Sus scrofa: one gene and its partners. The protein of the gene in region 3 purifies or fractionates together with the protein of the main gene of each other region. This does not show direct contact. Links are inferred from orthologs where the notes say so. Each region holds a gene or a part of one and is shown on either strand. Other genes may lie near its edges.

What was found.
Region 1: the proteins of MTA1 (region 3) and CHD3 purify together in Homo sapiens (affinity purification with western blotting; 7 studies listed by BioGRID and IntAct, with this or other methods). This does not show direct contact. The link is inferred for Sus scrofa from reciprocal best matches to the Homo sapiens genes MTA1 and CHD3.
Region 2: the proteins of MTA1 (region 3) and HIC1 purify together in Homo sapiens (affinity purification with western blotting; 3 studies listed by BioGRID). This does not show direct contact. The link is inferred for Sus scrofa from reciprocal best matches to the Homo sapiens genes MTA1 and HIC1.

What each region holds. Positions count from the first base shown.
Region 1 is NC_010454.4:53,135,686-53,145,834, forward strand, and holds the start of CHD3 (chromodomain-helicase-DNA-binding protein 3), read left to right. Parts: upstream 1-3,355; 5' UTR 3,356-3,879; coding exon 3,880-3,973; intron 3,974-4,288; exon of another isoform or gene 4,289-4,303; coding exon of another isoform or gene 4,304-4,403; intron 4,404-4,963; coding exon 4,964-5,076; intron 5,077-5,549; coding exon 5,550-5,720; intron 5,721-5,993; coding exon 5,994-6,118; intron 6,119-8,382; coding exon 8,383-8,666; intron 8,667-8,892; coding exon 8,893-9,023; intron 9,024-9,175; coding exon 9,176-9,326; intron 9,327-9,502; coding exon 9,503-9,696; intron 9,697-10,006; coding exon 10,007-10,149.
Region 2 is NC_010454.4:48,164,582-48,174,824, forward strand, and holds HIC1 (hypermethylated in cancer 1 protein), read left to right. Parts: upstream 1-3,449; 5' UTR 3,450-4,517; coding exon 4,518-4,554; intron 4,555-4,889; coding exon 4,890-7,054; 3' UTR 7,055-7,959; downstream 7,960-10,243. Other genes in the region: SMG6 (telomerase-binding protein EST1A), read right to left, coding at 9,784-9,914. UniProt on the Homo sapiens protein: Transcriptional repressor. Recognizes and binds to the consensus sequence '5-[CG]NG[CG]GGGCA[CA]CC-3'. May act as a tumor suppressor. Involved in development of head, face, limbs and ventral body wall.
Region 3 is NW_018084979.1:3,488,653-3,498,830, forward strand, and holds the end of MTA1 (metastasis-associated protein MTA1), read left to right. Parts: intron 1-739; coding exon 740-814; intron 815-929; coding exon 930-988; intron 989-1,329; coding exon 1,330-1,442; intron 1,443-1,708; coding exon 1,709-1,860; intron 1,861-1,946; coding exon 1,947-2,136; intron 2,137-2,238; coding exon 2,239-2,328; intron 2,329-3,103; coding exon 3,104-3,256; intron 3,257-3,376; coding exon 3,377-3,412; intron 3,413-5,102; coding exon 5,103-5,114; intron 5,115-5,942; coding exon 5,943-5,974; intron 5,975-6,179; coding exon 6,180-6,331; intron 6,332-6,417; coding exon 6,418-6,568; 3' UTR 6,569-7,090; downstream 7,091-10,178. UniProt on the Homo sapiens protein: Transcriptional coregulator which can act as both a transcriptional corepressor and coactivator. Acts as a component of the histone deacetylase NuRD complex which participates in the remodeling of chromatin.

The DNA.
Region 1 (10,149 bases), on a different chromosome or scaffold from region 3:
CCGAGGAGGAGGAGGAGGAGGAGGAGGAGGAGGAGGAGGTGGTGGTGGTAGCGGTGGGGGAGGCGGGCGGGCGGTGGGTGGGGGGGTGGTGGGGGGCCAGAGCCACAGGATGGCTTCCCCTCTGAGGGACGAGGAGGAGGAGGAGGAGGAGATGGTGGTGTCGGAGGAGGAAGAAGAGGAGGAAGAAGAGGGCGACGAGGAGGAGGAGGAGGTGGAGGCGGCCGACGAGGACTACGAGGAGGACGACGACGAGGGAGTACTCGGGCGCGGGCCGGGCCACGATCGGGGCCGCGACCGCCACAGCCCCCCCGGCTGCCACCTCTTCCCGCCACCGCCGCCGCCGCCCCCGCCGCCGCCGCCGCCGCCCCCGCCGCCAGGTAAGCGGCCGCCGACTCCCCCCAAACCCAAGCGGGAGCCGCGGGCGCCCGAAGCCGGGCGGGGGCGAGGCACCCACCGCGCGGCCGAGCCGAGGCGAATCCGGGGCGCGGAGCGCCGTCTCGGGCCCGTCGCCCGGCGCCGGTCCCGGCGGTCCGAGCGGTCCAGGCGGGCGGCGGTGGCGGCCGCCGGGCCAGGCCTCCTCCCCTCCCCCGCCGCACCCCTCCGCCGCCGCCGCCGCCGCCGCCGCCGCCGCCGCCGCCACCGCCGCCCGGGCTGAAGAGCGCCGGGCGCGAGCTGCGCGCGCGGACCGGGCCACTCGGTCGCGGCTTTCGGGGGAGGAGGAGGAGGAGATTTTTTTTTTTTTTATCCTCGGCGGGGAGGGGGTAGGCAGGAAACGTCCAAGGCGAAGCCAGGGCCCCCTCCCTGGCCGAGCGAGGGACCGCGGAGACCCTGGCGGCCGGACGGCGGCGTGGGGGAGGGGCGCGTGGGGGAGGGGCGGCCGCGCGGGCGCCCCTGGGGCTCCGGCCCCGGTGGGGTTGGACCGAGGTGAAGTGGGGTTTCCGCGCGAGGAGCGGACCGCGGCCCTAACCCCCACCCCACCCTTCGTCAGGAGTTGGGAAGGCCGGGGGAGCGGCTGGGGAGGGGGCGGGTGTCCCTCGGACCCCCCCCCACACCTGCGGGGACTTCGGTGCCCGCCAACTCTGGGGCGTGCGGTGGCACGTGGGGGAGGGGTCGTGTGAATGTTTGCGGGCGGCTGACGACTAGGGGCAGGTGGTGGCCACACTCCACGCAGACCACTTCCTGGAATGAGACTGGCTCCTGCCCCCTCTTCCCGGTTCGGCTCGTACTAGGGAGAGCAGTCACTGAGGATTGGGGAGCAAGAGGGGAGTGTCTGGGAGAACAGATGCCCCCAACCCCACCCCCTTTCTCTCTCCTCTGGGCTCTTTTGTGTCAAGTGCGCCGCCCCCCCCCATGACCCCGTCAGTCTGGGGTGGCCGAGCTGCCCAGCTGTGACTCTCACGTGGCTGCCATTCACTGTCACTCACTCTCCCGCTGAAACCACCCACACCCTGACCACGTCGGGGGGCGTGAACTGCCCACCCAGCTGTTCTGCAGCTTGACCGTCACTCGGCATCCCTCCCCGGGGTTGACAAGTCGCCCGCACTGTCTGGGCAGTTCCGCCCGCGCTGGAGGGCCTGACGGCTGCCTCGCGTCCAGGGGCCCCATTCTGGCTACCTTCCCGGTGGAGTGTTGCTAGTCTTTTTTAGGATAGACTAGGTGAGCATCTTTCGGGTGTTCACACCCCCAGGCCTCTGGGTGCCATGCAGCGCAAATGCACCAAACTTCAAAACATCTGACATCAGGTTCTTGGTAAAACTGTCATATTGATCTGGGTGGCTCATGTGGCAAATGTTCCTGTCTAGTTGAGACGGCCTTTGAGGGAGCGGGGGGTGCTTTCTTGGTGGCGAGGAGGGGGATGCCTGTCTGATGGAAACAGATAAGTCCACTCCTACCCCCACTCTGGCCCCTAGGCTTGTCTGAAAAAGGGAAAAGTTTTTAAAAAGTTGCCCAGAGAGCCCACTGATTTTGCAGGGGGGAAAAGGGATAAAGAATTGAGGGCAAGGGGTTGCCTGGAGCACGGCAGAGGTGCTAAAAAGAGAAAGGGTGTCAGGTGAAGTTAAGGGGCTGGCTATTCTCACCTGTGTGTATTCCGAACCTGGAACGTGGCGTCTGGGGGGCTTTGACCCTGGATTTGGGTGTGGGAGAGGGGGAGCATGAAGGGATCTGAGGTCGAGATGGGTCTTTGTGTCAGTACTCCCTCCCCCTTCCCCTCCGCTTTCTAAACAACGTCGAATGTTTTTAAAATTGTGCGTTGGAAATGGAAACCCACCTCCTCTCTCTCCCAGGGCAATTTTATGTCCCTCTCAGCCCTCCAAGTCAAACGGGGGACCCGGATACACCCCCTCAGATGACTTTCTGAGGTAAAACTTCAGGAAAATATTTTCGGTCTGCCCATTATTTCTGTCTACAGAAGCGTGGGCAAAATAACCCTCCTCTGAGGCAAATGTATTCAGGCTGCCCTCCCTCGTCCTTCTCTAGGAGATGAATTTATCCGTGTTAGAGGTTTCTATTGTTTTTTTTTTTTTTCATTCCGACTGCTTTGATTCTCACCATTTTGTTTTACATTCTTACCCAAGACCAATTTTATCCCTTCCCCCTCTCCAGGCTCCTTACATTGTTAGACGTTTAAAATAATAGCGCTCGTGCAGATGGGGGAAGGGAGCAGGAAGCCAAAAACTCATTTCTTCTCCCTCCCCCTTCTGGCAAGTCTAGAGAAATAATATAACATAATATATAGATGTGATTCCTTGGGGGTGGGGGTGGGGAATGCGTGTGGGTGGTGCGGAAAATTCTGGTAGTTTCTTTGCAAAAGGTCTGAAAATACAAACCCACCCCCTGCAGGCACTACGCATGTGCAGCCGACCTATTATGGTGGTTCGTTGTGGGGGAGGGAGAGGAATTTGAGAAAAAATAAATATATGTGTGAGAGATTGATGGTGAGATTAGAAGAAGAGAGGGGCGGGCGGGAGGCGAGGCTTTCGGCCGGGCTCCTCCTGCTTTCTGGGCTGCCAGGCTCCGCCCGCCCTCCTCGCCGCCCTCCTCCCTCGCCGTCTTCCCGAGATCCGAGCCGGGATGTGGGAGCGTCTGGGCTCCGGGCCAGCATTGAGTGGCTGGTGAGACAGAGGTTGGGACTTAGATTTGCTTTCTTGCCCTCCCCTTCCTCGCCGTCTCCCTTGCCTCTCCGCGCCGCCGCCGCCTGCCCAGCCTCGGGAACCTCCTGCCGGGCGGCGGGGGGCGCGCGGCGGGGGTGGGGGGGAGTTAACTGGCTGTGAGGTCCCAGGGCTTGTGCCCCCCCCCCCCGCGGGCGGAGGCGGGGCCATTTCCCTGATCCTTAGCCAGTTGGCCTGCCCTTGCCACTGCCCCGGCAGCCTCCATTTCCATGTTCTTATTAACCGAAGTCCCCGGGGTTAGGGAGCGCTGGCTGCTGGGCACCGGCGTTTTACTGACTTCCTCCTGCAGGCCCCACTCAGTGCCCGGGCTGCCCTCACGCGCCCCCCCACCCCCACCCCAGTCTTAGAGTGTCTCCCTGCTGGGGAGGGCCCAGGACTAGGAGAAGCAGCACTGAAGGAAGGAGGTGCCAGGATTCTGAGGCAATGGAAACCGAGGCCTCCGGTGTTAATTGTGGCTAATTTTCCCTTGGCTGGTGTGGGAGGAAGGATTGTGTGTCCCAGAGCAAGGGGCTGGGCCAGGCCCAGGCTTTCCTCTCCTGCACAGCTGCCTCTGCCTGAGTAAGACAGGTCTGGCTGGTTAGTCTGGTGCCTGCTGGAGGAGGGAGGCCAAGCAGGGCCTCATGTCTGGGTGGCATCCATCAGCGTCTTCCTCCTGGTGGAGTTATGCTCTGTCGCCTAAGCCACCACAGACTGGCAGGGGTCATGGAGAATGAGGTGGGGGGACATCTGGGAAGAAGCAGCCCCAGCCTCTCTGACAGAAACATCTGGAGAGAAAGCCAGGGCCCTAGCCCTGCGGGAAGCAGGTACAGGCTGTCTTCAGGGTTTGTGCTCCTACGTGTGTGTGTGTGTGTGTGGTGTGTGTGTGTGTGTGTGAGGCTTCAGCATTTGAGCATGTGCGTGCCGTGGGTGGGGTCCAGTATCTTTGTTTGGGTCTCCCACACTCTTGACATAGGAACGGGTCAGAATGTCTGGGACTAAATTTGAAGACAAGGGGTGAGACCAGAGGACAAAGGGTAGGGCCCCTGAGTTCTCAGGGATGTGAAAATAGATTTGAAGCGGATTCCAGGCTGCTTGGGAGGAGGAGGAATGTTTAGGTAATTGTGGAGCTCTTCTCCTATGGGGTGACGGTGGTGATGCAGGAGCCAGACCCCGCCATCCTGTGGGCAAGAAGTGGGCATGACTGGCTGAGGATTTCTTTTCCTCCAGGGCTGTGCTGGGGTGACAGGAGATTTGGTGACTCTCTGAGGAATTATAAATAGAGGCCTCCCTCCTCACAAAAAGCATGTCAGGGCCCCAGGGTGTTAGCGTGAGAATCCAGGTGTCCACCTTTGGCTCTGCCTTCTCAGCATCTGGCTTAGGGAGCTGCCAGCTTGTGTCTCCCCACTCCAAGTGCTGGGGTCAGGCCAGGCCAGCAGCTGGGCATGGCTTCCCCAGTTCCTGGGCAGGATGCCAGCTGGCTAAGTGAGGGGGAAGGCAGGAGGAGCCCTGGCGGCGACTAAAAGGACCTGCCACAGTCAGAGCCCGTGGCCTAGAGCCTGGTCCCTTGTTAGTAGGAGGGGAGAGGAGGGAGTGGTTTGGCTGCTCTTCCCTTCTGACCCCTGACCTCCCATTCAGAATCCGAGCATCCCAGAGTACTCGAAACACTCGGGTGCATCCAGCGAAGGGCGGCAGGATTTGGAAGAGTTAATGCTGGGAGTTCCTAGAGAGTGAGAACCTAGGAGGTGAGGCAGTGGAGGGGCCGCAGAGCCTGGGAACATAGAGACTTAAGTTTTCTGGTGCCCTCTGCTCCAAAGATAAAGATGACATTCGGCTGCTGCCTTCAGCATTGGGTGTGAAGAAGAGAAAACGAGGACCCAAGAAGCAGAAGGAGAACAAGCCAGGGAAACCCCGAAAACGCAAGAAGCTTGTAAGTGTGCAGGACTCCTGTCTCTACAGCTAGGCCCGGGGACCCATTTGCAGAGGCCTGCGCTTCCTCTGGTCCTGATTACCAGGGGGGGATCCTGAAGTCGGGAAGGCCTGACCCCCTCTACGCAGCCCCCTCAGCTGGGCTCTGGCACCCTAGCCTCCCTCACTGCATCCTAGTGGGGAGCCCTGTGGGCCCCGTGACTGGCCTTGGAGGAGAGAGGAGCAGGTGAAAGCCCAGGCTCCGGCAGGAGACTGCATGAATTCCGAGCCCCGTAGTCCTCTGTCTTCTCGAGCAGTTCGCTTGGCTCTCTGTGCCTCGGTTTCCTCATCTGCAAAAAGTGGGTAGAAATAGATAAGTTACTATCTCATGGGGTCGTTGTGAGGTTTGAAAGAGACAGCACACGTTACGTGCTTAGAAAAGTTTCTGGCACATGGTAGGGCTAAAGAAATTCTATTTTTATTTCTCTCCCTTAGGACAGCGAGGAGGAATTTGGCTCTGAGCGAGATGAGTACCGGGAGAAGTCGGAGAGTGGAGGCAGTGAATATGGAACCGGACCCGGTCGGAAACGGAGAAGGAAGCACCGAGAAAAAAAGGAGAAAAAGACAAAGCGGCGGAAAAAAGGGGAGGGAGATGGAGGGCAAAAGGTGAGTAGATTTAGGGCGTGAGGGGAGAATTAGGATCATTGACAGGTGGAGGCGGAGGAGGGAAAGCCCTGAGCGAGGGGACGAGCAGATGCTAAGTGGAAAGTCTAGTTTCCCCTGGGGAGGAGGGGAGCCGGCTGGGAAGGGGGCAGGGGCAGAAAGCCTCGGGAGGCTGCTGGGTGCCCCTGCTGGGTGCCTGGGTGTGTAGAGGAGCATGTGGGGGTCCAGGACTGGGGCTGGAGAGGCGCCCTCCTCACGGAAGCCCGGTCTCTCCAGCAGGTGGAGCAGAAGTCGTCAGCAACCCTGCTTCTGACCTGGGGCCTGGAGGACGTGGAGCATGTGTTCTCCGAAGAGGACTACCACACTCTCACCAACTACAAAGCCTTCAGCCAGTTCATGAGGTGCGGTAGGACTGGGGAGTCCCTGCGAGCAGACACATTTAATAGGGGGAGGCCCTGGATCCCTCTGGAACCTGGTGGAAGATAAGAAACTGCTCTCCAGAGAAATTCACAGCATGTACACATCAAATTCCGCATGTCATCTCAGGAAATTCCTGGGCTCCTGAGGATCCAAGGACTCCAGTCAGGAACCCTTCACTGGGGGGGGGGGGGGGGGACACAGTTCCACTGCCAGGTTAGAAAACTGTAGTGACAGACTCAGGGAGGACTGATGGCCTCCTGCTCCAGCAGTTTCCCCTGGCTGACTTCTGTCTAGACTGGAGTGGAGAGAGAACATTCGTGTCCCCCAGTGTCCTTTGCTCAGGGATCTAGCCATCTGTCCCTTCCTTAGACACCAGCAGTGATGGAGGAGGCATTGCTGACAGTGGGACCTGAGCGTCAGCGCTCCTGAAGTAGAGTAGAGCACAGCACAGATGCCTTTTGAGGAAGCAGGCACTTCAGCAGAGCAGTTTCATGCTCTGGAGGCAGCCTACTGGGGTTCAGGTCCTGATGGCATCTGGTTCCACTCACTTCTTGGATCTTTAGTTTCCGCATCTGTAAAATAGGCACACCCAGAGGACGCACCTCATGGGATCTTGTGGGGATTTGATGGGATAATGGTTGAAAGCCCAGTATGCCCAGTGCCTGGCCCCCAGCAGTGTTAGTCCCTGGAGACTGTCGTTAGTCCTGTTGTCTCACTGCTTCATCACTAAAGACAGTGCTTCCGTCTGCACCAGGGTCACTCATGTCCCCGCAAGGGCTTAACACCCCACTGCAGAGCAGAAGCAGCGTGGCCTGTCAGACTCCAGCTGCGGAGATGCTTCATCAGGGCCTGTGGAACTCAGCAAAGTGCAGGGAATCATAGCAACTCCTAGACGTATCATGAGGACAAAATAAGATATTATGTATGTGGAAGTGTTTTAGAAACTGTGGAGCAGTTGTCAAAAGTAAAGCATTTTTGGAATTCTCTTGTGGTGCAACGGGTTAAGGACTCAGCATGATCACTGCAATGGCTCCGGTCGCTGCTTTGGTGCAGGTTCGATGCCTGGCCTGGGCACTTCCATGTGCTGCAGACAAGGCCCAAAAAACAAGTAAAGCATTTTTATTAATCCCATTTTTTTCCTTTTTAATTTTCTGTGCATTTAAATTTTATTTTGCCTTTTTTTTTTGGCCACTCCGCAGCATATGGTGTTCCCCGGGCAAGGAATCAGATCCGAGCTATAGTCACCACCTAAGCTGCATCTGCGGCAACAGCACATCCTTAACCCTGTGCCAGGCCAGGGATCGAACCTGTGTGCCAGTGCTCCCAAGACACCACCTGTAACTGTTGTGACACAGTGGGAACTCCAATTTTGCCTCTTTCTTTCCTTTTCTTTTCTTTTTTAGGGCCGCACCTGTGGCATATGGAGGTTCCCAGGCTAGGGGTCAAATCAGAACTGCAGCTGGCAGCCTTCGCCACAGCCACAGCAACTCGGGATCCAAGCTGAGTCTGGGACCTACACCACAGCACATGGCAACGCCTGGTCCCTGAACCACTGAGCGAGGCCAGGGATCGAACCCGTGTCCTCATGCATACTAGTCGGGTTCATTACCACTGAGCCACAGTGGGAACTCCCTTGTCTTTTTCTTTTTTTTCTTTTTTTTTTTTTTTTTTTTTGTCTTTTGTTGTTGTTGTTGTTGCTATTTCTTGGGCCGCTCCCGCGGCATATGGAGGTTCCCAGGCCAGGGGTTGAATCGGAGCTGTAGCCACCGGCCTACGCCAGAGCCACAGCAACGCGGGATCCGAGCCGCGTCTGCAACCTACACCACAGCTCATGGCAACGCCGGATCCTTAACCCACTGAGCAAGGGCAGGGACCGAACCCGCAACCTCATGGTTCCTAGTCGGATTCGTTCACCACTGCGCCACGACGGGAACTCCTCTTTTTCTTTATTCATGCTTTTTTTTTTAACTTTTTTCCTTTTCTTTTTAAAGTTTTAATTTATTTATTATAAAATTGATGTTTATTTTTTGGTCACCCCGGTTGAGGCTGGGGATCAGACCCGTGACAACACTGGTCCTTAACCTGCTGTACCACCAGGGAACTCCCAAATTGCTCTTCTTCTTGACAGGACATGTTTTCACCACACAGGAATCCTAGCTTGTACATAGACTTAATAGAAGAGGAGAAAAGACACTTTCTCAGGCCATCTGTGAAGGGTCTGAGTCTCCTGCTTCTATATTCACAGGCCCCTGATTGCTAAGAAGAATCCTAAGATCCCAATGTCTAAGATGATGACCATCCTTGGGGCCAAGTGGAGAGAGTTCAGCGCCAACAACCCCTTCAAGGGGTCAGCAGCTGCTGTGGCAGCAGCAGCAGCCGCCGCAGCCGCAGCTGTAGCTGAGCAGGTGTCAGCTGCCGTCTCGTCAGCCACCCCAATAGCACCTTCCGGACCCCCCGCCCTTCCACCACCCCCTGCTGCTGATATCCAGCCCCCACCCATCCGAAGAGCCAAAACCAAAGAGGGCAAAGGTAAGAAAACCTCTTGCTGGAACAACTCTCACCCCACCTTCTAAACTGCGTGTAATCTGTATCATCCAGAACTCTTGTCTTCTCAGCTCCGATTGTTGCAAAAGAAATGCTTTCCAGGAAGGGGGTCTCAGTGAGACCACAGCCCACCAAGAGGCCCCCATGGCCTCCATTTCTGCAGGTTGTCATGAGCTCGGCTTTTTGTCCCCCACCCCCACTCCTCACTCAGGTCCAGGCCATAAGAGGCGGAGTAAGAGCCCCCGAGTGCCTGATGGACGCAAGAAGCTTCGGGGAAAGAAGATGGCACCACTCAAAATCAAACTAGGCCTGCTGGGCGGCAAGAGGAAGAAGGGTGGCTCGGTGAGGGGCCCTCCCATCTGTCAGACCCCAGGGCAGTGGTCAGGGGCGAGGTCCAGACACAGGGTCCGTGAGGGCAGTGGAGTCGGGCGCCCAAGGCCTGGGGGGCAGTGGAACCCAGTGGGCCTCCCTGACAGCCACGGGGCTATGGGCAGTATGTTTTGCAGAGCGACGAGGGCCCCGAACCCGAGGCTGAGGAGTCAGACCTGGACAGCGGCAGTGTCCACAGTGCCTCAGGCCGGCCCGATGGCCCCGTCCGCACCAAGAAACTAAAGAGAGGCCGGCCAGGACGGAAGAAGAAGAAGGGTAGGGCTGTCAGCTGGGTGTGGTCCTGTCAGTCAGCCTTCCTCTCATTCCTTCGTTGTCTTCCTTGTTTTCAGTTTTGACTTCTTCATTCAACCCTTCTCTCTTTCTCTCCCCTCCCCGTTCCTCTCGCTCCTTTCTCTCTCTGCTCCCTCTGCCTCCGCTGGGGTCTGTGACAGTCCTGGGCTGTCCCGCAGTGGCCGGGGAGGAGGAGGTTGATGGCTACGAGACGGATCACCAGGATTACTGTGAGGTGTGCCAGCAGGGTGGGGAAATTATTCTGTGTGACACCTGCCCTCGTGCCTACCACCTCGTCTGCCTTGATCCTGAGCTTGACCGGGCTCCTGAGGGCAAGTGGAGCTGCCCCCACTGTGTGAGTACTGGTGCCACCTCTTACGGCCCTCAGGGACCCACCCGTGTCTCTCCTTGGTTTTTCTTGTCCTCTCCCTACCCCCAGCTGCCTGGGCATCTCAGTAACAGGCGTGTAAGTGTCCGGGGCCCTCGTTTGTTCCTCTCCCCCGTCCCTTTGCCCCCCACGTCAGCGTTTTTGGAAACTGAGGTGTCCTGTTCCTTTGTGCCCACCCACCTTCTCTGCGCCTCCCAGATCTGGGTCTCGAGTCTTTGCTGGTCCTGCAGGCTCACTCCTTGCCGTCTTCTCTCTGTGTCTGTCCTTGGCCTCCCAGGAGAAGGAGGGCGTTCAGTGGGAGGCAAAGGAGGAGGATGACGACTACGAAGAGGAGGGAGAGGAGGAAGGGGAGAAGGAGGAGGAGGACGACCACATGGAGTACTGCCGCGTGTGCAAGGACGGCGGCGAGCTGCTGTGCTG
Region 2 (10,243 bases), on a different chromosome or scaffold from region 3:
TGGAAGACTGTAGAAGGAGGCTGAACCTGGAAGGAAAGGCCCAGTGTGGGTCCAGGTACCAGAAAGGATCTGGAGACCCAAGGGAAGGCAGAAAAGTTGAGAGGGTGGCTTGGACTCCCCAGAAAAGAGCAAGCGGGTCCTCTGTGGGGGATTTGGGGAAAAGGTGGCAGGAGAAAGGGGAGACTGGAAGAGGAAGCCTCAGCAGGTGGAGGAGAGGAAAGCTGGTCCACAGGGCCAGTCTCAGAGCCTGGCGTGCAGCAAACTGCGTTTAGGATCCATTTGTGGACTGATAGACAGTGGCAGAACTCATATGGGGGTGATAATGAGCAAGGAGACCAAGGGCTCAGCAGCTTAGCAGAGAAGAGTCTCCAGGGGGTACCAGGGCAGAGACCACTTGCCGGAGGAGTTCCTGAAGGTTAGAGTTCCCGTCGTGGCTCAGCAGTTAACGAACACGACTAGCATCCATGAGGACTCAGGTTCAATCCCTGGCCTTGCTCAGTGGGTTAAGGATCATGCGTTGCTGTGAGCTGTGGTGTAGGCTGCAAACACGGCTTGGGTACTGAGTTTCTGTGACTGTGGTGTAGGCCAGCAGTTACAGTTGTGATTTGACCCTTAGCTTGGGAACCTCCATATGCCACGGGTGAGACCCTAAAAAGACCAAAAAAAAAAAAAAAAAAGTTCCCAGAGGTCAGAATTGGCAGCAAGAGCCCATGCCGTGGGGGGGGCGGGCATCGTTCTGGACAAGAGCCAGGGAAAAGAATGATCCTGGCCCAGCCTAGCTCCATCAATTGAGCAATTGAAGAAAGTTTTAAACGGGGAAGGGGAGTGCGTTCAGAGAAAGGAGCTAGATCAGGGTGGGGGGTGGGTGGGAAGGGTCCAACACCAGGCCAGGGCAGTGGCAATAGGGAGGGAAGGAAAGGTCAAGAAGTGTGAAGTCCACAGGAGGGCAGCTAGGCTGGGGCAGTTCTGATGTAAAGACAGCTTGAGGGGAGGGGCTGGGGCAGTGAATTAACCCGGGGAATAGGAATCTGGGAACTGTTGAAGAAAATAGCTTTGGGCACAGGGGACCCTGGGGTGGGGCCTCAGTGGACAGACTCCACTAAACAAGAGAGGGGGTTGAGTGGACCCTCGCAGGGCTAGGATCTGGCCCCATCAGGGAGATAAAAGATTACAGCAGAAATGGGATCAAAGAGGTCCTGCATACCCTTTGGGGTCTAGCCTCCTAGAATTCCATTTTTCACTTCCATCCTTTGTCCAGCTGCTTCTCTTCTCCAGTAATGCCTTCCTGCTGGGGAGAGAACTTCTATTCATCCACAGAAGCCCAGATCTAAGAGCACTTCTCAGGCACCTTCCTGCCTCCCAGCAGTTCTCCATACACTTTCCACCTCAGTGCATAGCACATCCCTCCGGCAAAATGTCTAGGTCCGGAGTTCCCATTGTGGCTCATCCGAAACGAATTTGACTAGTATCCTTGAGGACGCAGGTTCCATCCCTGGCCTCACTCAGTGGGTTAAGGATCTGGTGTTGCTGTGAGCTGTGGTGTAGGCTGGCAGCTACCGCTCCAGTTGGAACCCTAGCCTGGGAAGCTCCGTATGCCGCGGGTGGGGCCCTAAAAAGACAAAAAAAAAAAAGAGAGAGATGTCGAGGTCCATCTCCCGTAGAAGCTGACAGCTCCGGAGCCCATTTTCATTCCTGGAAACTCATACTTCCTTAGGACCCCGGAGCAGGGTTGTGGGGGAGTCGGAGCAGAGGACTGGGATAAGATAGACCCAGAACAAGGAGTGGAAACAGGGTGAGGGCAGACTCAGGAAGCAGTGGGGGTCAAAATAACCTTTGGGGACCAGGAGCCGCCGCCTGGTCCCAAGGCCATGTAGTTGCCTGTATAGGAAAGGGAGCCTCTGGGGGGCGCCCGAGACCTTGGTGTCTGTCTGGGACTGCGAGCGACCGCGCGGGCGGCTCTTCAATGAATGACTCAGCCACTACCTCTGGCGGGGGCGTGGGGGCGGAGGGCAGCGCGGGGGTGCGGCGAGCGCCGTCCCCACCGCCCAGCGGTCCTGCACGGTTGCTAAGCTCTCCAAGGCCTCGGAGAGACGCGATCTGGGCGAACCTCATCGGTTACTATGGTAACTCTGCGCCCCATCTTCTCGTGCGCCGCGGCTGAGGGAGGCACAGCCAATCAAAAGCTGCAGGCTTTCTCGGAACCCACTCCCACCCTCCACGTGTGGGCGGGGGTCAGGAGGTGCGGGGAGGAGGCGGAGCGTGGGTTGAGGAGATCCACTCAGCCACGCAGGCGTTGGCTTCAGGCCTGGCGTGATGGCGGGGCGGCGCGGTACACTTCCGGAGTAGCTGTGCCACTGCCCGCTCACCAGTGCAGGGGTCCCCTCCCTCCTAGAAGGGGCGTCACCTGCAGGAAATGGGCCTTCACTTGGGGGTGCAGGACCCTGCGGGGGATCCTGGGCTCCAGGCCCTGCTGTAAGACCGTTGCGCGTACCTCAAAAATGGCTCGCACAGGGTATCTGGGAGCTTAGGTCTCTTCTGCGGGACCACCCAAGAGGCTCTGTCCAGCCGTTCCCCTGTCACACATCCTGGGGTCCCTCCAGAGATATGCAAGTTCAGCGTGCACTGTTTGGGTACCACTTCTGCCCAGGTCACAGAGGGCTCTACATGGCAGCCCCCTGAGTATGCCAGAAAGCCGGGACTTCGTAAGGGGGCAGGTGTGTATGCAAACATGAGCGCCTTCGAGTGTCAATGCCTAGAGAGGATCTGGGTGCAGATGGGTTTATTCTGTGCATACCATACCCACAGGGTTGAGTGAGGGAGGGTGTGTTGAGGGGGTGGGTGGGTACAAACGGACAGTCCCACCCAGGAATATCTAGGGGGTACCCTACTATCTTGTCTATCTTTTTCTTCCTTAGGATTTTCGGAACCTCTCTTACACCATCTACTTTCACCAGAGTCTCCTCCTTGTGGGCAAGACTTCTCTGAATTGGGGCAATTTGAGAATTTAGAAATATGTACATGGGATCATTCAGCTCAAAATCCCGAGGCTTGTGGGGCTCGCAGGTCCGAGGCTTGGGTCTCCAGATGGGCACATCTGGGAGGCTGAACCTGCGAACAGCCCCCCCCGCCCCCGCCTCCGCCAGCCCTGCATCTGCGATCCTCCAGCCCAGGTGCGCAGGAGGGAGGTCGCGGCTGTGCCGCGCCAAGTCTCGCCGCGAGGTGGCGCCATAGCTGCAGCGGCGCCTGCCGGCCCGGGCCGCTCCAGATAAGAGTGTGCGGAAAGAGCAGCGGGGCTGAGACGCGACCAGGACGCGGGGAGGACGGACCAGCAGGACAGACCGACCGGGGGCCCGGAGGGCGGAGGGCAGCGCAGCGCAGCCACGTCCCCCCTGGATCCGCCGGCAGCCGGGCCCGGGGCTTCCGACATGCCCCCCAGGTGGGTCCTCGGGCTGGGGACCGGGAGGGACAGGGGACCCGGACACGCCCGGTCCTCGCGCGCTGGCCGCCTCGGGCGCATCCTCCGGCGCGGGCGCCCCAACGCGGCTGGCGTTCAGGGCTCCGGGTGTCGCTCCTAGAGAACTCAGGACCGCCGGGACGCTACTCTGCGCCGGGTTCATGGCGGGGTCAGCGGCCCGGGCCCGGCTCTGCCCGCACATGGGTTGCAGAGGCGAGGGGAAGGGAAGGGGAGCTGGCGGGCGGGGCTGGCAGGGGCGCTGCCCTGGCACAGCGCGGCGCCTGGCAGCGGGGCGGGTGGGGCGCCGGCAAGGAGCTGCCACCGCCGCCGGGAGGGAAGCCCGGCTGGGCTGCGGCCTCAGGTAACGGGCCGCGAGGCCCTGCGGGCCAGGCGGGGAGAAGGGTCGGGCGGGCAGCGGACGGCCGGGGAGTTCTGGGCTCGGTTCAGGCCCGGCAGCGCCTGGCTCTGCCGAAATTGGGGGCCGAGAGGAAAAGCTGCGACCGAGGCACGGGGCCTGGCGCGCTCCTCCCGGCCAGCCCGAAGTTGGGAAACTTTTCCCCAAGTTTGGGGCGGCGGAGTTCCCGTGGAGAAGGGGCCGAGGGGAGCTGCGGAGGGAGGCGCCGGGCCGGCGAATGCAGAGAGGAGGCCGAGGCCAGGGCCGGGACGCGGGTGGGGCGCAGCCAGGGTCAGGGCCGCAGCCGGCTGTGCGCCGTGCCCGCCCGGGGCGCTGCCCCCTCCCTCCCCTGGGAGCTGCGTGGCTCCCCCCTCCCCCCACCTGCTTCCTGCCTCAGCCTCCTGCCCCGATATAACGCCCTCCCCGCGCCGGGCCGGCCTTCGTGCTCTGCCCGCCACGGCAGCCGCTGCCTCCGCTCCCCGCGCGCCGGCCGCCGCCCGGGGCCCAACGGAGAGGGCCTGACAGCCCCCGGCCAGGGCGGCGCCACGACGGGCACCGCGCTCCCCTCCTACGGACCACTTCCCCAACTGGGGCAACTTCTCCCGAGGCGGGAGGCGCTTTTTTACGCGGCTCCCTTATATCCCACTTGGGCAAACTTCTCGGCCTTGAATGACTTTTCCTGAAGCGGACATTTTCCTCAAATCGGGTAACTGTTTCCCAAAGGGTGACTTCGCACCAACAGCTTTCTCCTCAGAAGCCCCCAGAACCCAGGCCGTGCGCCTGGCGGCATCCGGGCCCGGGGGCGCAGGCCAGCCTGGCCTCTTCTCCACCAGCCAGTCTCGACTCCTTCTCCTGGTCCGGGCCGGCCGGCCCAGGCTCCCACTCCCAGAGGCCGCGGATCCTCCGCCAGCGCCCAGGCCGCGGTGCTCGATGCCCCTGCCCAGCTGAGGGGAAGGGGAAGTGGAGGGGAGAAGCGCCGGGCTGGGTGCAGGCGGCGAGGGCTGGCTGCGGCTCTGACCCGGCCGGTGTGTGTCCCTGCAGGAGATTGTGCTGGGCAGACGATGCTGGACACGATGGAGGCTCCCGGCCACTCGAGGCAGCTGCTGCTGCAGCTCAACAACCAGCGCACCAAGGGCTTCTTGTGCGACGTGATCATCGTGGTGCAGAACGCCCTCTTCCGCGCGCACAAGAATGTGCTGGCGGCCAGCAGCGCCTACCTCAAGTCCCTGGTGGTGCATGACAACCTGCTCAACCTGGATCATGACATGGTGAGCCCGGCCGTGTTCCGCCTGGTGCTGGACTTCATCTACACCGGCCGTCTGGCTGACGGCGCAGAGGCCGCGGCGGCGGCGGCGGTGGCTCCGGGGGCCGAGCCGAGCCTGGGCGCCGTGCTGGCCGCCGCCAGCTACCTGCAAATCCCCGACCTCGTGGCGCTGTGCAAGAAGCGCCTCAAGCGCCACGGCAAGTACTGCCACCTGCGGGGCGGCGGCGGCGGCGGCGGCGGCTACGCGCCCTACGGGAGGCCGGGCCGGGGCCTGCGGGCCGCCACGCCCGTCATCCAGACCTGCTACTCGTCCCCGGCCGGGCCTCCGCCGCCGCCCACCGCCGAGCCGCCGTCGGGCCCCGAGGCCGCGGTGAACACGCACTGCGCCGAGCTGTACGCCTCGGGCCCCGGCCCGGCCGCCGCGCTGTGCGCCCCCGAGCGCCGCTGCTCCCCGCTCTGTGGCCTGGACCTGTCCAAGAAAAGCCCGCCGGGCTCCGCGCCCCCCGAGCGGCCGCCGGGCGAGCGCGAACTGCCCCCGCGCCCAGACAGCCCTCCCAGCGCCGGCCCCGCAGCCTACAAGGAGCCGCCGCTCGCCCTTCCACCGCTGCCGCCGCTGCCCTTCCAGAAGCTGGAGGAGGCCGGACCGCCTCCGGACCCGTTCCGCGGCAGTGGCAGCCCGGGACCCGAGCCCCCCGGCCGCCCCGACGGGCCCAGCCTCCTCTATCGCTGGATGAAGCACGAGCCAGGCCTGGGCAGCTACGGCGACGACCTGGGCCGCGAGCGCGGCTCCCCCAGCGAGCGTTGCGAGGAGCGCGGCGGGGACCCGGCCGCCTCGCCCGGGGGGCCCCCGCTCGGCCTGGCGCCGCCGCCGCGTTACCCCGGCAGCCTGGACGGGCCTGGCGCAGGCGGCGACGGCGACGACTACAAGAGCAGCAGCGAGGAGACGGGCAGCAGCGAGGACCCGAGCCCGCCCGCGGGCCACCTCGAGGGCTACCCGTGCCCGCACCTGGCCTACGGCGAGCCCGAGAGCTTCGGTGACAACCTGTACGTGTGCATCCCTTGCGGAAAGGGCTTCCCCAGCTCGGAGCAGCTGAACGCGCACGTGGAGGCGCACGTGGAGGAGGAGGAGGCGGCGCTGTACGGCAGGGCCGAAGCGGCCGAGGTGGCTGCGGGGGCCGCCGGCCTCGGGCCCCCTTTTGGAGGCAGTGGGGACAAAGTCGCGGGGGCTCCGGGGGGCTTGGGTGAGCTGCTGCGGCCGTACCGCTGCGCGTCGTGCGACAAAAGCTACAAAGACCCGGCCACGCTACGGCAGCACGAGAAGACGCACTGGCTGACCCGGCCCTATCCGTGCACCATCTGCGGGAAGAAGTTCACGCAGCGCGGGACCATGACGCGCCACATGCGCAGCCACCTGGGCCTCAAGCCCTTCGCGTGCGACGCGTGCGGCATGCGCTTCACGCGTCAGTACCGCCTCACCGAGCACATGCGCATCCACTCCGGCGAGAAGCCCTACGAATGCCAGGTGTGCGGTGGCAAGTTCGCCCAGCAACGCAACCTCATCAGCCACATGAAAATGCACGCCGTGGGTGGCGCGGCGGGAGCGGCCGGGGCGCTGGCGGGCCTGGGGGCGCTCCCCGGCGTCCCCGGCCCCGACGGCAAGGGCAAGCTCGACTTCCCCGAGGGCGTCTTTGCGGTGGCGCGCCTCACGGCTGAACAGCTGAGCCTGAAGCAGCAGGACAAGGCGGCCGCGGCCGAGCTGCTGGCCCAGACCACGCACTTCCTGCACGACCCGAAGGTGGCGCTCGAGAGCCTCTACCCGCTCGCCAAGTTCACAGCGGAGCTGGGCCTCAGCCCCGACAAGGCGGCGGAGGTACTGAGCCAGGGCGCGCACCTGGCCGCCGGCCCCGACGGCCGGACCATCGACCGTTTCTCCCCCACCTAGAGCGCCTCTCGTCCGCCCGCCTTGTCGCCGCCGCCGCCGCCGCCGCCGCGCGGCCCGGGTCCGCGCCCCCAGGGAGCGGCGGCGGCGGCCACCAGCAGGCAGGCAGGCAGGCAGGCAGGCAGGCAGGCACCCCGCGCCCGGACGACTCTCGTAGCAGCGGCAGCGTCGCCGCAGGGGCGACGGCCACACCTCGCTGCGGCCTCACCTGGCCTCACTGCTTTGTGCCTTAGCCCGGGGTGGGGGTGGGGGGAAACCCCGGGACGGGGGTGGGATGGGGGACGGGAGATTTATATTTTTGATATCAGCTTTGACCAAAGGAGACCCCTGGCCCTTCTCCGCCTCTTCCTGTGGTTCGTTGGCCCCCTCCCTCGGCTCCGTGCTGCTCTTGGGGGGAGGGGTGTCACTGTTGGGGCGCTCCCAGCCCTACCTCCGGCCCTTGCGACTACACCCATTCTCACTGTGAATCTCCCTGCTGGGGTCGGAGCGTCGGGCAGAGCTGGGGAGCGGGGAGGGGACTGAGCCGGCCGGAGGGCCCCCCCGCCCCCGCCCCCCGCCCGCCCCGGGACTGATAATGTGAAGTTCCTCATTTTGCACAAGTGGCACTAGCCCCAGGGCCAACCCTTCCCTCCCTCTGGAGTCAGAGGGCTGAGGCGGCCCTGGCCTACCCAGTCTCCCACCACTCTCGCGGTGGTCCCTCCTCCCTTCCCTGGGGCCCCGGACCATATTTATTGCATGCGCCCCGGGTGGCCCCCCACCCCGAGCCCAGGCTGGGCTGGGCTGGAACGTGGTCTCTTTAGCTCCCTCCTCCTCGTTTGTATTATTTCCTACCTTGTACACAGGCTCTTCCAGAGCCGCTTCCATTTTCTATACTCGAACCAAACAGCAATAAAGCAGTAACCAAGGACCCCGGACCTAGCAGCTCTCTTCGCCCTGCACAAGGAGCTGGGGAAGAGGGGGGCGGCGGCACTGGGATGGGTGCAGGGGCCAGAAGCAGCGCTCTCATACAGGTGGGGAGGCTCGGACCTTCCCTCCCCAGTCCCAGAGACAGATCAGCAAGAGGTCAGGCATGTTCATAACTAAAAATTTATTAAGGAAACAAGAGCAGTGCTGCCAATGGGACAGAAAAGAGATGGGGTTCCCCCCCCCGCCCCGCGCTCCGCCCGACCCGGTCATCAGCCCTCATCCAGGGGAGAGGATCTCAAAGGAGAAGCTGGGAAGCCTGTATCCCAAAGAGCCCCCAGTCTTCTGAGGCCCTGGGGGACTTACACTCCCCCCAAGTCAGTCACTGGCCTCGGCTCTCCTGCACAGTTCCCCCTCCTTCTGGCGTAATCTTGGGCTTCAGGGAGAGCACAGCCTTGCTTCCAGCCTCTGCATGGACAGAGAGGAGGCTCTGGGGCAGTCCCCCACTGGTCCCATCGAAATTTACTCTGGGCTCCTCCTCCAAACGCTAACCTCCCCGAAGTTCCCCTCATCCCTGTCCCTGGGTCGAGAGAACGCATTCCCAGTAGGAAGGAGGCTTTGAACACAGGTGCCAGCTAAGGAGGCAACCCCCAAAACTCCAAGGCCAAAGGGCCCCTCCCTGTGTCCGGTCGTCCTAGGGCAAAGCTAGAAACGGTGCAAACTCCAGGCTAAGCGATGCTCTTCCCAGGCACTGGCCCACTCCACCCTCAGGCTGGACTGGACCAGCCTGAAGGTTTCTCAGAGCACAGAGGCCTGGGGAAGATGGTCAAGGGCAGGGAGGCTTTACTAGGCTCCTGCCACAGGTCTCGCAGGAGGAGGACTGAGAGAGAGAAGCCCCATGGAAAGGAACTGAGGGGCCTGGAGGCTGAGGGGTCAAGGAGAAAGGAGGCCGAGGGGGATGGATGACTGAGGAGGGAGAGCGGGAGGGCGAATCGAGAAGAGTCTGAGGACGGTTTGCGAAGGGGGAACGAGAGCAAAAGGAAGGCCGGTGAGGGGAAAGGGAGCAGGGAAAGGCCACCCAGGAAGCATGGGCTTGAGAGCAGATGTCCCCGCCCTGCAGACCCAGGACCCACTGAGGGGAACACAAGAAGCTAAGTACAATGGGCCCAGACTGGCGAGGGCAGGGAGAGGAGCAGCAGGAAGCAGGATGGGTGTGTGGGCTGGGGGTGAGGTGGGTAGGAGACGTGGGGGCCGAGGGCTGCGGTTTAGGACATGGTGTTCAGAACCCAGCTGGGGTCTCGGGGGGAAATCCAGGCCTCAGGGGGAGAGACACACCCTGGGCACTACTTTTAGGGCAAGAGCAAAACCTGCTCGACACCCCCAGGACAGGGGTTCTGAAGAAGATGAGAGGGACCCATGACTTCGCCTGCATCCGATGGGAACCCTACCCCCTGCCCCACCTCCAGCTGAGAAAGCGGCCGAGTCCCGGGCTAGGAAGGCCTTCCCTCAGCCCCGGACCTGGACAGGGGGAGGGAGAGAGGCCGAGCATGGGCGGCTTCCCGGCTCACCTGCCTGCGGTTACTGCAGCTAGCCACCTCCCTGCTAAATCCGGCAGCCCAGGAGGGTCCCGGCAGCTTCCGCCCGACCCTTGGGAGGGGCTCTGTGAGGAGCAGCTCCCCCACAGCACGGCCACGGCGTGGGTTGGAAGAGGATGGTTTATTGTCTGGGTGGATTGGTGGCTCAGGCACGTGGGCATCTTCTGTGCTACACTGGGCGCCTGGTGGCCTCTCAGGAATGGTTCCGTAGGGGCGGGCCCCACTGCAGCCCCCTCAGCCCACCTGGGCCCACGTGAGGAAGGCCGGGATGTCCCGCACAGGCACATTCCTGGTCAGCGCTTTCACACGCAGGTTCCGGTCATCGGTCAACAGCACCACCTCCCGCAGCAGCCGGATTGGCTCCTCTGTTGGCAGAGAGAGCAGAGGGACTTCACCGAGGGCAGAGGCAGCGGCCCTGGCGCCCTCTGCCCTCCTGGAGGGAAAGCGGTCCTGGGGCCTCGAGGCCAGCCATTTTCTGGCCCTGCCGCAGGTCCTTTCCCTCGGCCCCGCCATGGCCGGCCTTCTGCTCTGGGCCCCCGCCTCCAGCACAGGCCCCTGCCGCCTCACGCCCTGAGAGCCGTCCGACCCCCCCAGCCTCTGCGGACCCCTCTCCTCAGGACTCGGAGCCGAGGGAGGCGCAGCAGCCCTCCTGACCGCATGGCCAGTCCCGGACTCACAATGCTCTTCTCCTGCC
Region 3 (10,178 bases):
CCTGAGCACGAGCTCCGAGGAGGAGTCGGGACAGGTGGCCTTGACAGCATCTGCTTCCCAGTGGCATTTTGCAAGGCCTCCAGCAGGCTGCTGGAGAAGCAGTGTCAGTGCCCAGAGGCCGCCAGAGGGACCTCCCAGCCCCTTGGAGACGTGGCAGAGGCTGAGCCCGGGAGCTGGCCCCTCTGCGTGGAACTGGCTGCAGACCTAGGCAGAGTAGTGAGACCGACTCAGACGGAGCTAAGCGGGGCTGCGGGGCCCTCATGCTCCTTCGAGGCTGGCCAGGTGCATGAAGCATTGGCTCTGGGTCCCTGACGCACAGGCAGACGCTGTAGACAAATCCGAGCCCTGGAACCTCCTCCTCGTGCGCTCGTAGGAACCGGGTCCGCGGGTTGTGCGGTAAACCCAGGGCAGCCCAACCCGCACCAGCGAGAATTGCCCCCCCCCCCGCCGCCCTCCCTCTCGGCGGACTCAGATCAGCTGTAGGAGCCCAGAGCTGGCACCTGGACCCGGGGTGGGGGAGCCGGAGCCCGGGAGCAGACAGTCAAACCCGCAGGCCTGGGGGGGGCGGAGGAGGGGGCAGGCCTGGGGGGGGCGGAGGAGGGGGGCACACTCGCACCGAGCGGGGGGCGAGGAGGAAGCCCGCGCATGGGAGCGGTTTGGGAAATGTGGGGTTTGCCCGAGAGGAAGTTCGCCTTGAAGGCGCGTCCCCGGGCCCCCGTGACGGGCCCTCCTCCCGCAGCTGCCCTGGAAGTCGCTCACCAGCATCATCGAGTACTACTACATGTGGAAGACCACCGACAGATACGTGCAGCAGGTGGGCGCCGCCGCGGCTCCGTGGCCTGGGGGCCGCTCAGGGTGGCCAGGCAGAGGCGGGCGGCGTGGGGACCCACCTGCGGGTCCTTCTGACCCTCTGTTTTTTGTGTTTTAAGAAACGCTTGAAGGCAGCCGAAGCAGAGAGCAAGTTAAAGCAAGTTTACATCCCCAACTAGTAAGTGCGCCTCTAAGCACCATTGCCGGCTGTCCTTGGCCAGGCTGGGTGGGCCGGGGGAGGGGCACTGCCTGGCTCGAGACCAGGGGGGTCCGGGGGCGGCGGGCCCGGCCCTGGCTCTCCCTCAGCCTCCCAGCTGGCACAGGCGTCAGGACTCAAACCTGCTCAGCCCAGGGTTCACTGGGGCGGGTGGAGCTCGGCTGTAGACAGGAGCTGCTCTGGGACCCGAGGAGAGAAAGGCCACATAGGGGGCATGGGTCAGCGGCTCCCCCAGGGCCAGGCGGGTCCCGCGGTGCGAAGCTGGGCGCTCCCGTGACGGCTCCCTCTCTCCCTCCCCCAAGTAACAAGCCAAACCCGAACCAGATCAGCGTCAATAGCATCAAGGCAGGCGTGGTGAACGGCGGGGCGCCGGGCCAGAGCCCTGGGGCCGGCCGGGCCTGCGAGAGCTGTTACAGTAAGTGCCCCGCCCAGCACCCAGGGCACACCCCGCCCCTCAGCGCGGGGTGGGGGGGGCAGGAGGGGGGCCAGGGGGTGGGGGTGGGGCCTGGCCTGGGGGCGGGGGCCCACCCTGCCTGGGGAAAGAAGCCCTCTCGGAGCGGGTGCCGGGGTGCCCGGGCCCGGGGCGGGCAGGGTGGCGGGCGGGCGACAGCTGTGTAATGCTCTCTTGCCATCACTGGTTCTGCTTAAGAATCCGTCTATTTCCAACTTTGTTGTCCGTAGCCACCCAGTCTTACCAGTGGTATTCTTGGGGTCCCCCTAACATGCAGTGTCGTCTCTGCGCGTCTTGTTGGACATATTGGAAGAAATATGGTGGCTTGAAAATGCCAACCCGGTTAGATGGAGAGAGGCCAGGACCCAACCGCAGTAACATGGTGAGTGCCCACCCCCCGCCCCCCGTGCCCCGCGGCCTGGCCCGCGGTCACGGCGCTGTGTTGGGGCGGCCTGCCCCCTTCCGCAGAGCCCCCACGGCATCCCAGCCCGGAGCAGCGGGAGCCCCAAGTTTGCCATGAAGACGCGACAGGCTTTCTACCTGCACACCACCAAGCTCACGCGGATCGCCCGGCGCCTGTGCCGAGAGATCCTGCGCCCGTGGCACGCCGCCCGGCACCCCTACATGCCCATCAACAGCGCGGCCATCAAGGCCGAGTGTGAGTGTCCGCCCGTGGGTCACGGTCTCTGGGGGGAGGAGATGCCAGCGGGGCGGGAGGAGGAGCTCTGACCCGGACCCCTCACGCCCACGGCCCCCACAGGTACGGCCCGGCTGCCCGAAGCCGCCCAGAGCCCGCTGGTGCTGAAGCAGGCCGTGCGGAAGCCCCTGGAAGCTGTGCTGCGGTACCTCGGTGAGCTGCCCTCCCACCCCAGGGCCCGGCCGGCCGTCTCCCTCCCTGCTCCCCCCTTGCCCCTGAAGTCCCCGGGCTTCCCCATGCCCACCCCGCGCCCCCAGGGCAGGCTCCCGGCTGGCTGGGAGGTGTGCCCAGCTCTGCAGCAGCCTCTGAGAGAGGGCCCTCGTGGCCTGGGGCTCCTGAGCCCCTCTGCTGGCTCGGCCAGGGGCTTGGGCGGGGCGGGGCGGCCCGCTTTGCCGGGCTTGGCCGTGTTCGCGAGTCAGTTCCTCCTGCTGCCATGGCGGCCTTCCCTCTCGAAGGACATTCCAGAACCGTGAGCCAAGCGTGCTCACGGCAGATACAAGTGGCCCTGACACCATTTGCTGTCTGGGTCCTGAGGCTGACCTTGTCCCGACCTGTGGGAGGGGGTGACCTGTGTCCCCTGAGAGCCCCTGAGGGCTGGGGAGCCTTGGTAGCTGTGACCTGTGGCTGCCAGGACAGCCCTGGGGGCTTGTCCTTGCCCAGCCGGCCGAGCCGTTGATGCAGTATCTGGCTGGTGGCCAGCCCTGTGCCATGAGTGCCGTTGACCCCTTCGTGGGCCTGCTTATTTATGGGTGCCTAGAGCCCCACTGGCTGGGGCTGAGACCGAGGAAATCGGCGCCAGGGGCTGTCCTTGCTCAGGATGCCCAGGGCCCTGGTCGCCATGGACCCCCCGTGTGAACTGGGGCCCTCGGCCAGGGCCTGGCGTCACAGCTGATGACCCACAGCGTGCCTGCCGCGTTGTCCCCCACAGAGACCCATCCCCGGCCCCCAAAGCCCGACCCCGTGAAGAACGTGTCGGGTGTGCTCAGCGGCCTGGCCCCCGCCAAGTCGGCCCCCGTCATCAACAACGGCTCCCCCACCATCCTAGGCAAGAGGAGCTACGAGCAGCACAACGGGGTGGACGGTGAGTCAGGGGGCTTGACCAGCTCAGCCCGTGGTCCCGGGGCTCCCGGCCCTGGACCCGCCCCACCCATGCCCACTGACTGTGTGTTCTCTCCTCTCTCCTGCCGTCGGGCGCTGCCAGGCAACGTGAAGAAGCGCCTCTTGATGCCCAGTAGGGGTAAGGCCCGGGGCGCCGCTGGCGTGGTTGCTCTGCCGGCCCTCTGCGCGGAGCCTGTGTGTGCTGTGCTCACGCATGCGCGGCAGCCGGCTCAGGGCACGTCCAAGGGCAGTCCACGCGGGCTGGGCCGCGCCCTGCTGCCCCCCTTCTCCCGATTCACCTGTCACTCGGCAGAGATCTGAGCGCTGGCCTCTGGCTCACGGGCCACCCCTCCTTCCTGGCCCAGTGCCCGGTCAGTGGACTGTCCTTGCTCGGGTGGCCCTGGTGCCCCCGCTGCCTGCCTGCACTGTCTGCCTTCGCGTTGTGACCGCCCGCATGCCATCAGCCTCAGCTTGCGTGGCCGCCTGCGCTGTGCTTGCAACCTCAGCCTATGTCCCTGCCCAGTGGGGGGTTCTGGGACCCTGGTTCCTTGGGGGCAGATGAGACACATTTGTGGTCCAGCTGGCATGGCTTGGTGGGGGTTTACAAGACCTGGGTGGACTCCTAGGCCAGGGCCCCACAGGGAGGCACAGCCAGGGCTGGGGGACCCAGAGCTGAGGCAACAGTGCCCTTCCAGGTGGGTGGGTGGGTGGGGGTGCCATCGGGAGCCAGGTGGGCAGTGTCCTCTGGTGTGGGGCGCCCCTAGCTTGCCCAGAGCCCTGCTTTTGCCCCCTTAGCTGGGGAAGGCGTGTCTGGGCACGGGCTGCCCCAGCATGGGCGCCGGGAGGGGGTCGCAGCGGCAGCGAGGGATGTGTCCGGCGCCCGCGAGGGTCAGCCTACAGTAGGATCCCCTGCGGACGGTGAGCAGGGAGCCAAGCCCAGGGGGCGGACCAGGAAATGCACCTGGCGCTCCTCCTGCCTGTCACTCGTGATGGGAAGGTCAGGTCCCATGTGGGCACTGTGCCTTGTGGACATGCCAAGGGCCCCCACCCAAGCTCAGGACTGGGAGCGCTGCCGGCCCTGGGAAACTGGCCCAGGTGGTCGGCCAGGCTGGGTTATCCTGGCGCCTGTGGGGGGTGGGTGCCAGCCATGGGGACTTGGGAGGTGGCAGCAGGCAGTGGCCATCTCCAGTCCAGCCCTGTCCTCTGGGTGCTCCCTTTCTCGGCTGTGTCTGGGAGCCTGGCAGGTGTGTTCTGTGGGGTCAGCCGGTGGTGCCAGTGCCAGGTTCTGCCAGCGCACTTGTCTGGATGCAGGCTCTTGCCTGCCCTGCTGCCTCATCTACGACCCCCTTGGTGGGGACGAGGGGCCCCCAGGGCAGGCACCAGCACGCCTGGTCCCCAGCCGCGTCCTCCCTGTCGTCCCCTGTAGCCGGGGCTGCCAAGGTGCTAGGGCTCAGCAGTAGGGGCTGACCTGCCCTGCTGCCCCCACGACAGGCCCCTAGGGATGGTCCTCACGTCCCATAAGAGAGGCCGCCGCAGGCAGGCGCCCGCCAGCAGGCACAGTGGGGCCGCAGTGTGCAAGGCTGCTCATCAGCCGGGGGAGAAAGTCCATTTCCCTCTGCAGCTTTTCCCAAACCGATGTGTTTGCACATCTGCTTCAGCCCCGAGTGCAGGTCCTGGGAGCCCTGGGAGGCGGCCCCGGCTGGCCTTGGGGTGCTGCGGGCGCGGGCCAGCGGCAGGGCCTAACTCGGCCTCCACCCCGGCCGCCGCGGCACACGCGCCCGCTCCCGGTTAACTGCGCTCTCTTTCCTCCGCCGCTGTCCCTCTGCTAGGCACCTACCTGGGTAAGTAGCCGGGCCGCAGGGCTGCCGGCGGTGCCAGGCCCTCCCCCCGCCTGCGGGGCGGGGGCTGAGTTAGCGCGCGCGGTTGGTGGGGAGGGCGGCCGCTTGGCTCTTGTTCTGCTCGTCCAGGGACAAACCTCACACGACCACGTGCACACACCTGTTGCACACGGACTCTCGTGACCACGCAGCCCTCACACGCCGGCTCACGACCACGCACACGCGCTCCCCACACACAGACACCAACTCATTACCCCGCACACGCCTTCCTCACAGGCCGACTCAATCTGAGTGTGTTTGGGAGTTGGGGTCTTAGGGACCGGTTCACGGTGTGGACTCTGACTCAGGACAGCACCTTTCCTGAGTCGCTGGCATGGCTTGTGGCTCCAGCCCCCAGGCCACAGGGTGGAAGTGCAGGTGCCCTGGCCGGAGCCTGGCCAGCTGGCAGCTCCGCCTCCCGGGGTCCAGCAGGGCTGCCGGGGCCCTGGCCGCCCTGCAGAGGGCCTCTCGGTGCTCTATTTACAGCTGTGCCAAGCGTCGCCTGGTTACTGTGTAAACCAGGTTCCATCTGTCCCGCCCAGGCAAAGCCAGGGAGCGAGCTGAGATCCGAGACTCCTGGCTCCCACCCAGAGTCCCGGCTGGTGGCCCTCAGAGCGCCAGAGAGGGGCCCGGGCAAGGCCAGGACCCAGGGGAGCAGAGGCCCCCTGGGTGTGGGCTGTGGCTTTGGGGGGATGTGGCCCAGGTTTCCTGCTGCTCAGCTGTGGGTCCTGGGGAGGAGGTGGGCGTGGGGGGCGGTGGCCCAGGGCTCAGCTCCGGCCTTCCTCCCCTCAGGTCTGGCGAACCACGGGCAGACCAGGCACATGGTAAGAGGAACCCACCTTCACACGCTCCGCCGGCAGCCCCGCCAGGCGCTGCGCAGGAGCTCGCCCCCCCCCCCCCCGCCTCCGCGGGACCAGAGGTGGGGTGCGCCTTGGGGTCCCCACGGCCCTCCGAGGGTCCCCTGCCCGCCGGAGTGGCCGAGTCAGCCCCCGGGGTTTCAGGGCTGACCGCTCCCGCTTCCCCCCACAGGGACCAAGCCGGAACCTCCTGCTCAACGGGAAGGCGTACCCCACCAAGGTGCGCCTCATCCGCGGGGGCTCCCTGCCCCCCGTCAAGCGGCGGCGGATGAACTGGATCGACGCCCCCGACGACGTCTTCTACATGGCCACCGAGGAGACCAGGTGCGGCCCGCGGGGGCGGGGCGGGGCGGGGGCACCGCGTCCCCGTCGGTCCCGTCGGTCCCCGTCACCCGCGGCTCCGCTCACAGGAAGATCCGCAAGCTGCTCTCGTCCTCGGAGACCAAGCGCGCGGCCCGCCGGCCCTACAAGCCCATCGCCCTGCGCCAGAGCCAGGCCCTGCCGCTGCGGCCGCCGCCGCCCGCGCCCGTCAACGACGAGCCCATCGTCATCGAGGACTAGGCGCCGCCGCCGCCGCCCCCTCGCGGCTGCTCGGACCACAGGCCGCGCCCCCGCCGCCGCCCGCCCGCCCGCCCGCCGCCCGCCGCCCGCCGCCCGGTTTTGGTAGTGCCCCTGCCCGCCCTCACCTGCCGAGAAACTGCGCCTCGCCTGGGAGAGCCCGGGAGCCGGCGCGGTCCCTCGCCCGGAGCGCCCGCCCGCCCGCCCAGGGGTCGTTTTTTTAGCTTTGTGTTTACTTTTTGGCCGGAGCGGAGCCGAGGAGCCGCCCCGAGTGCCTGCTCCCCGCTGGGCCTCGTGGGCCGGCCAGGAGTTCTGTTGTGTTCTGTTGAAGGTGCCATTTTAAATTTTATTTTTATTACTTTTTTTGTAGATGAACTTAAGCTCTGTAACTTACACCCGGAATGTTAGGGTCGGCGTGGCCAGCGGCCGGCCGAGCTGCCTGGTGGGGTGGCCCCTTGTCTTTTCAAGTAATTTTCATATTAAAAAAAACAAAGAAAAAAAAACTCATAAAAACAAAAAACCAGCTAACCCTTCCCGTGTCTTTTGTCCCTGGTCCGTCTCCCTCCCTTGGGCCCACCAGCCCCGACTCTCAAGGGCCCGCTGGGCACGTGGCCCTTGCTGTGCCGGCCTCCAGGCTGGGCTGGGCCTCCTGGTGCTCCCCGACCCTCTGCCCCGTGTCCCTGGCTCCTGCATCCCTCCCCTGGGGCAGGAAAGAGTCCTGCCAAGGCTCAGGGCTCTCATGGGGGAGCTGAGGTCCCCTCTGTCTGTCCAGGGTTGCGGGGGTGGGGTGGGGGTGGGGGTCTGGACCTGGCCTGGGACCGCCTGGCAGGTGCCGGGCTCCCATCGTGGCAGCCGGCTGGCCAGCCTGCTCCTGGCAGAGCCCTGCCTCAGCTGTCTGAGGATTTCTGCCAGGAGCCATGGGGCCACCCCAGCAGGTGTGGAGTTTCCGTTGGCGAATTTGCTCAGATTTCAGCAAGTCCGTTCTCAGAAATCCTACCTCGGGCTGGCCCTCTGCACACACCTTCGCGAGCTCGCGGAGCAGGGGCAGCCGCTGGGGGGAATCCAAGAGTGCCGCCTCTCAGGCTGCGCCGCCTCCACCACCGCAGAGAGGGGTCAGCTCGGCCCTCCTGGAGGGGCTCCCTCCTCCCCAAGCTCTGCCGCCTGCTGCTCCAGCCCTGCCGAAGTGTAGACAACTCAGCTGGGGAGCTAAAATAGAAACCACTCTGCTCCCTCACCGGAGGCAGATAAGGGGTGGCAGGCCAGGGTGTCAGAGAAGTGCCTGTGGCACCCCCGGCCATTTCTAATCTGCCGTTCTGGCGCCACCCCCGCCCGTGCCCCACTGCCCTAGGACTTGCTGCGGTGTCTGCGGGGGGCTGGGAGACCAGGCTGGTGACCTTGAGAAAGACATTAGCTTCCTCCGGGGCCTTCTCCAGACCTGGGGTCTGAGCCTGCGGACCCCCCAGGCCCGAGTGAGCTAGCTCTCATCCTGACACAGCTCTCTGTCCCAGAAACAGACAAGCCCCGAGGAGAGTCGGGCTCCCTGCCCGCATCGCAGCACCTGGGAGGTCTGAGCCCGAGCGTAGGGATTGGGTGGGGATCGGGCACCGGCTGGCAGGGACCAGGGTCCTGGGCACCCCAACATACGTTTGCCAGCTTTGCCCTGTTCTCGTGGACCCGGCAGGGGGCTGAAGCCATCCTCCCCAGCCCCCAGGGCCAAGGGTAACTCAGGTGGGCAAGAGTCCCCACAAGGGCCTCAGCCTGGGGCCCCCTCCCTGCCTGGACCTCCCGCCCCCCGCCCCCCGCCCCTGGACCCTGCAGGAAAGAAAGTAAGTCTGGGCTCCTCTGTGTAGCCGGGATGACAGGTGATCCGCAGGGCACCATGCTGCTGTGGCCCCAGGGGAGGGGCCTCCGCCGCACCTGGCCACCTGGCCTGGCCACCTTGGGGCCCTGCCTGTTTCCCTCAAACTCTGCTGTCCTCGCTGGGAGCTGCCCGGCCTGTGCCTGCCTCGCCCTCCAGTCCTCAGTGGCCTCGGAGGCAGATGCTGCTGCTCTGCCCCTTCCCAATCCAGGCCCAGAACAGCTGGGGGACGGCACTGCCCCACTCCCCTCCCTGCCCCTGGGACACCCAGCCAGGGCTCCATGCCCATTCACTCTCCAAGCAGGGCTGGGGCCCACAAGTAGATTCCTTCCCAGGAAACACCTGTGCCCCACCAGCCTGCCCTCCAGAGCAGTCCTGCAAACTTCGGGGGCTGGGCGGAGTCAGGGAGGCCGATGCCCCTGGGGGTCCCCAGGGGCTCCCAAGCTGCCGAGGAGGACCTGGTAACGGATGCCAAACGGGGGCAGAGAGACCATGAATTATTCAGAGACACCTGACGCCCAACCTGAGCTAGGAGCAGGCTGTGAATGCTGACCCACACTGGCCACCTTGTCCAGGGAGCTCCAGCAGGCCTCCCCTCCGGCTCCACCCTGACTGGCAGGGGGCCAGAGCTGGAGTGTAGAGGGAGGGGGGCCGGTCAGGCTGGTCAGTCAGGCTTGGGGGCCACATGTTTCTGGGTTGTTGACCTCCCTTGGGAATGGCAGTGGCTGAAGGGTGTGCGTGCAGGCCCAGGGGTGCCTCAGGGAGCAGGGCCAGGGTCGGGCTGCCATGAGAGGGCTGAGACGCTGGCTCACTCACTCAACCACCCCGTGAACATGCTGGGGCTAGGGGCCAGGAGCAGGTGCCAGGGCCACCAGGCAGAGGAAATGGGGAGTGGGGGGCAGACCTCAGTGTCTGGCACAGAGCCTCAGACACAGGGCAACGGGTGAGGCTCGGCTGGGGATGGAGGCCCCGAAAAGAGCCTATGAACGAGCAGAGCCCCTGGGAAGTGGGACAGGTCCTCCAGGTCCCCACGTCCTGGGGGTTAGGGCGAGGTTCTGTATGGCTCAAGGGCGGAGACAGGGAGAGCCAGCCGGGAGCTGTCAGCCAGGTCCCTGTCGACCGGAGGACTGTGGACCCCTGGGGGGGGGGACTCCGAGTGCCGGCAGACCCCTGGCTCCCCAGCCTTCCAGAAAGATGCTTTGGGACCAGGCTGGAGGTCAGAGGCCCTGGGTCCTAAGCCAGGTCTGGAGAAGAGATGCCCGAGGCAGGTGTCTTGAGGAGTGGGGCAGAATGCAGAAGGTGTGCACCTGGGCATCTGGGAAGAGGGCACTCCAGGAGCGCCCCATCTCCTCCCCCTCCTCCCCTCCCAGTCCTACCGCCACCTTCCCCTCGGGTTCCCTTGCTGCCAGCATCCCCTCCCCCACCCTCTTCCTGCAGTTTCTCTCAGGATGTTTTGTTTGCCTTGGGCCGCCCCATGGCGTATGGAGCTCCGGGCCAGGGATCAGATCTGAGCCAGCCGCAGTCGCAACCTAAGCCGCAGCTGCGGCAACACCGGGTCCTTAACCTACTGGGCCGACGGGGGGGCGGCGGAGGGGGTGGCGGGGGAATGGAACTTGCGTCGCGGCTCTCCCTAGACGCCCTACCCCGTTGGGCCTCAGCGGGAACTCCCTCTCGCGCTGTTTTTGGAAGTGGCGGGCGCCCAATCCTCCACCCGCCGAGACTTCAGCACACTCACAGCCTTAGGTGGGGTCGGTG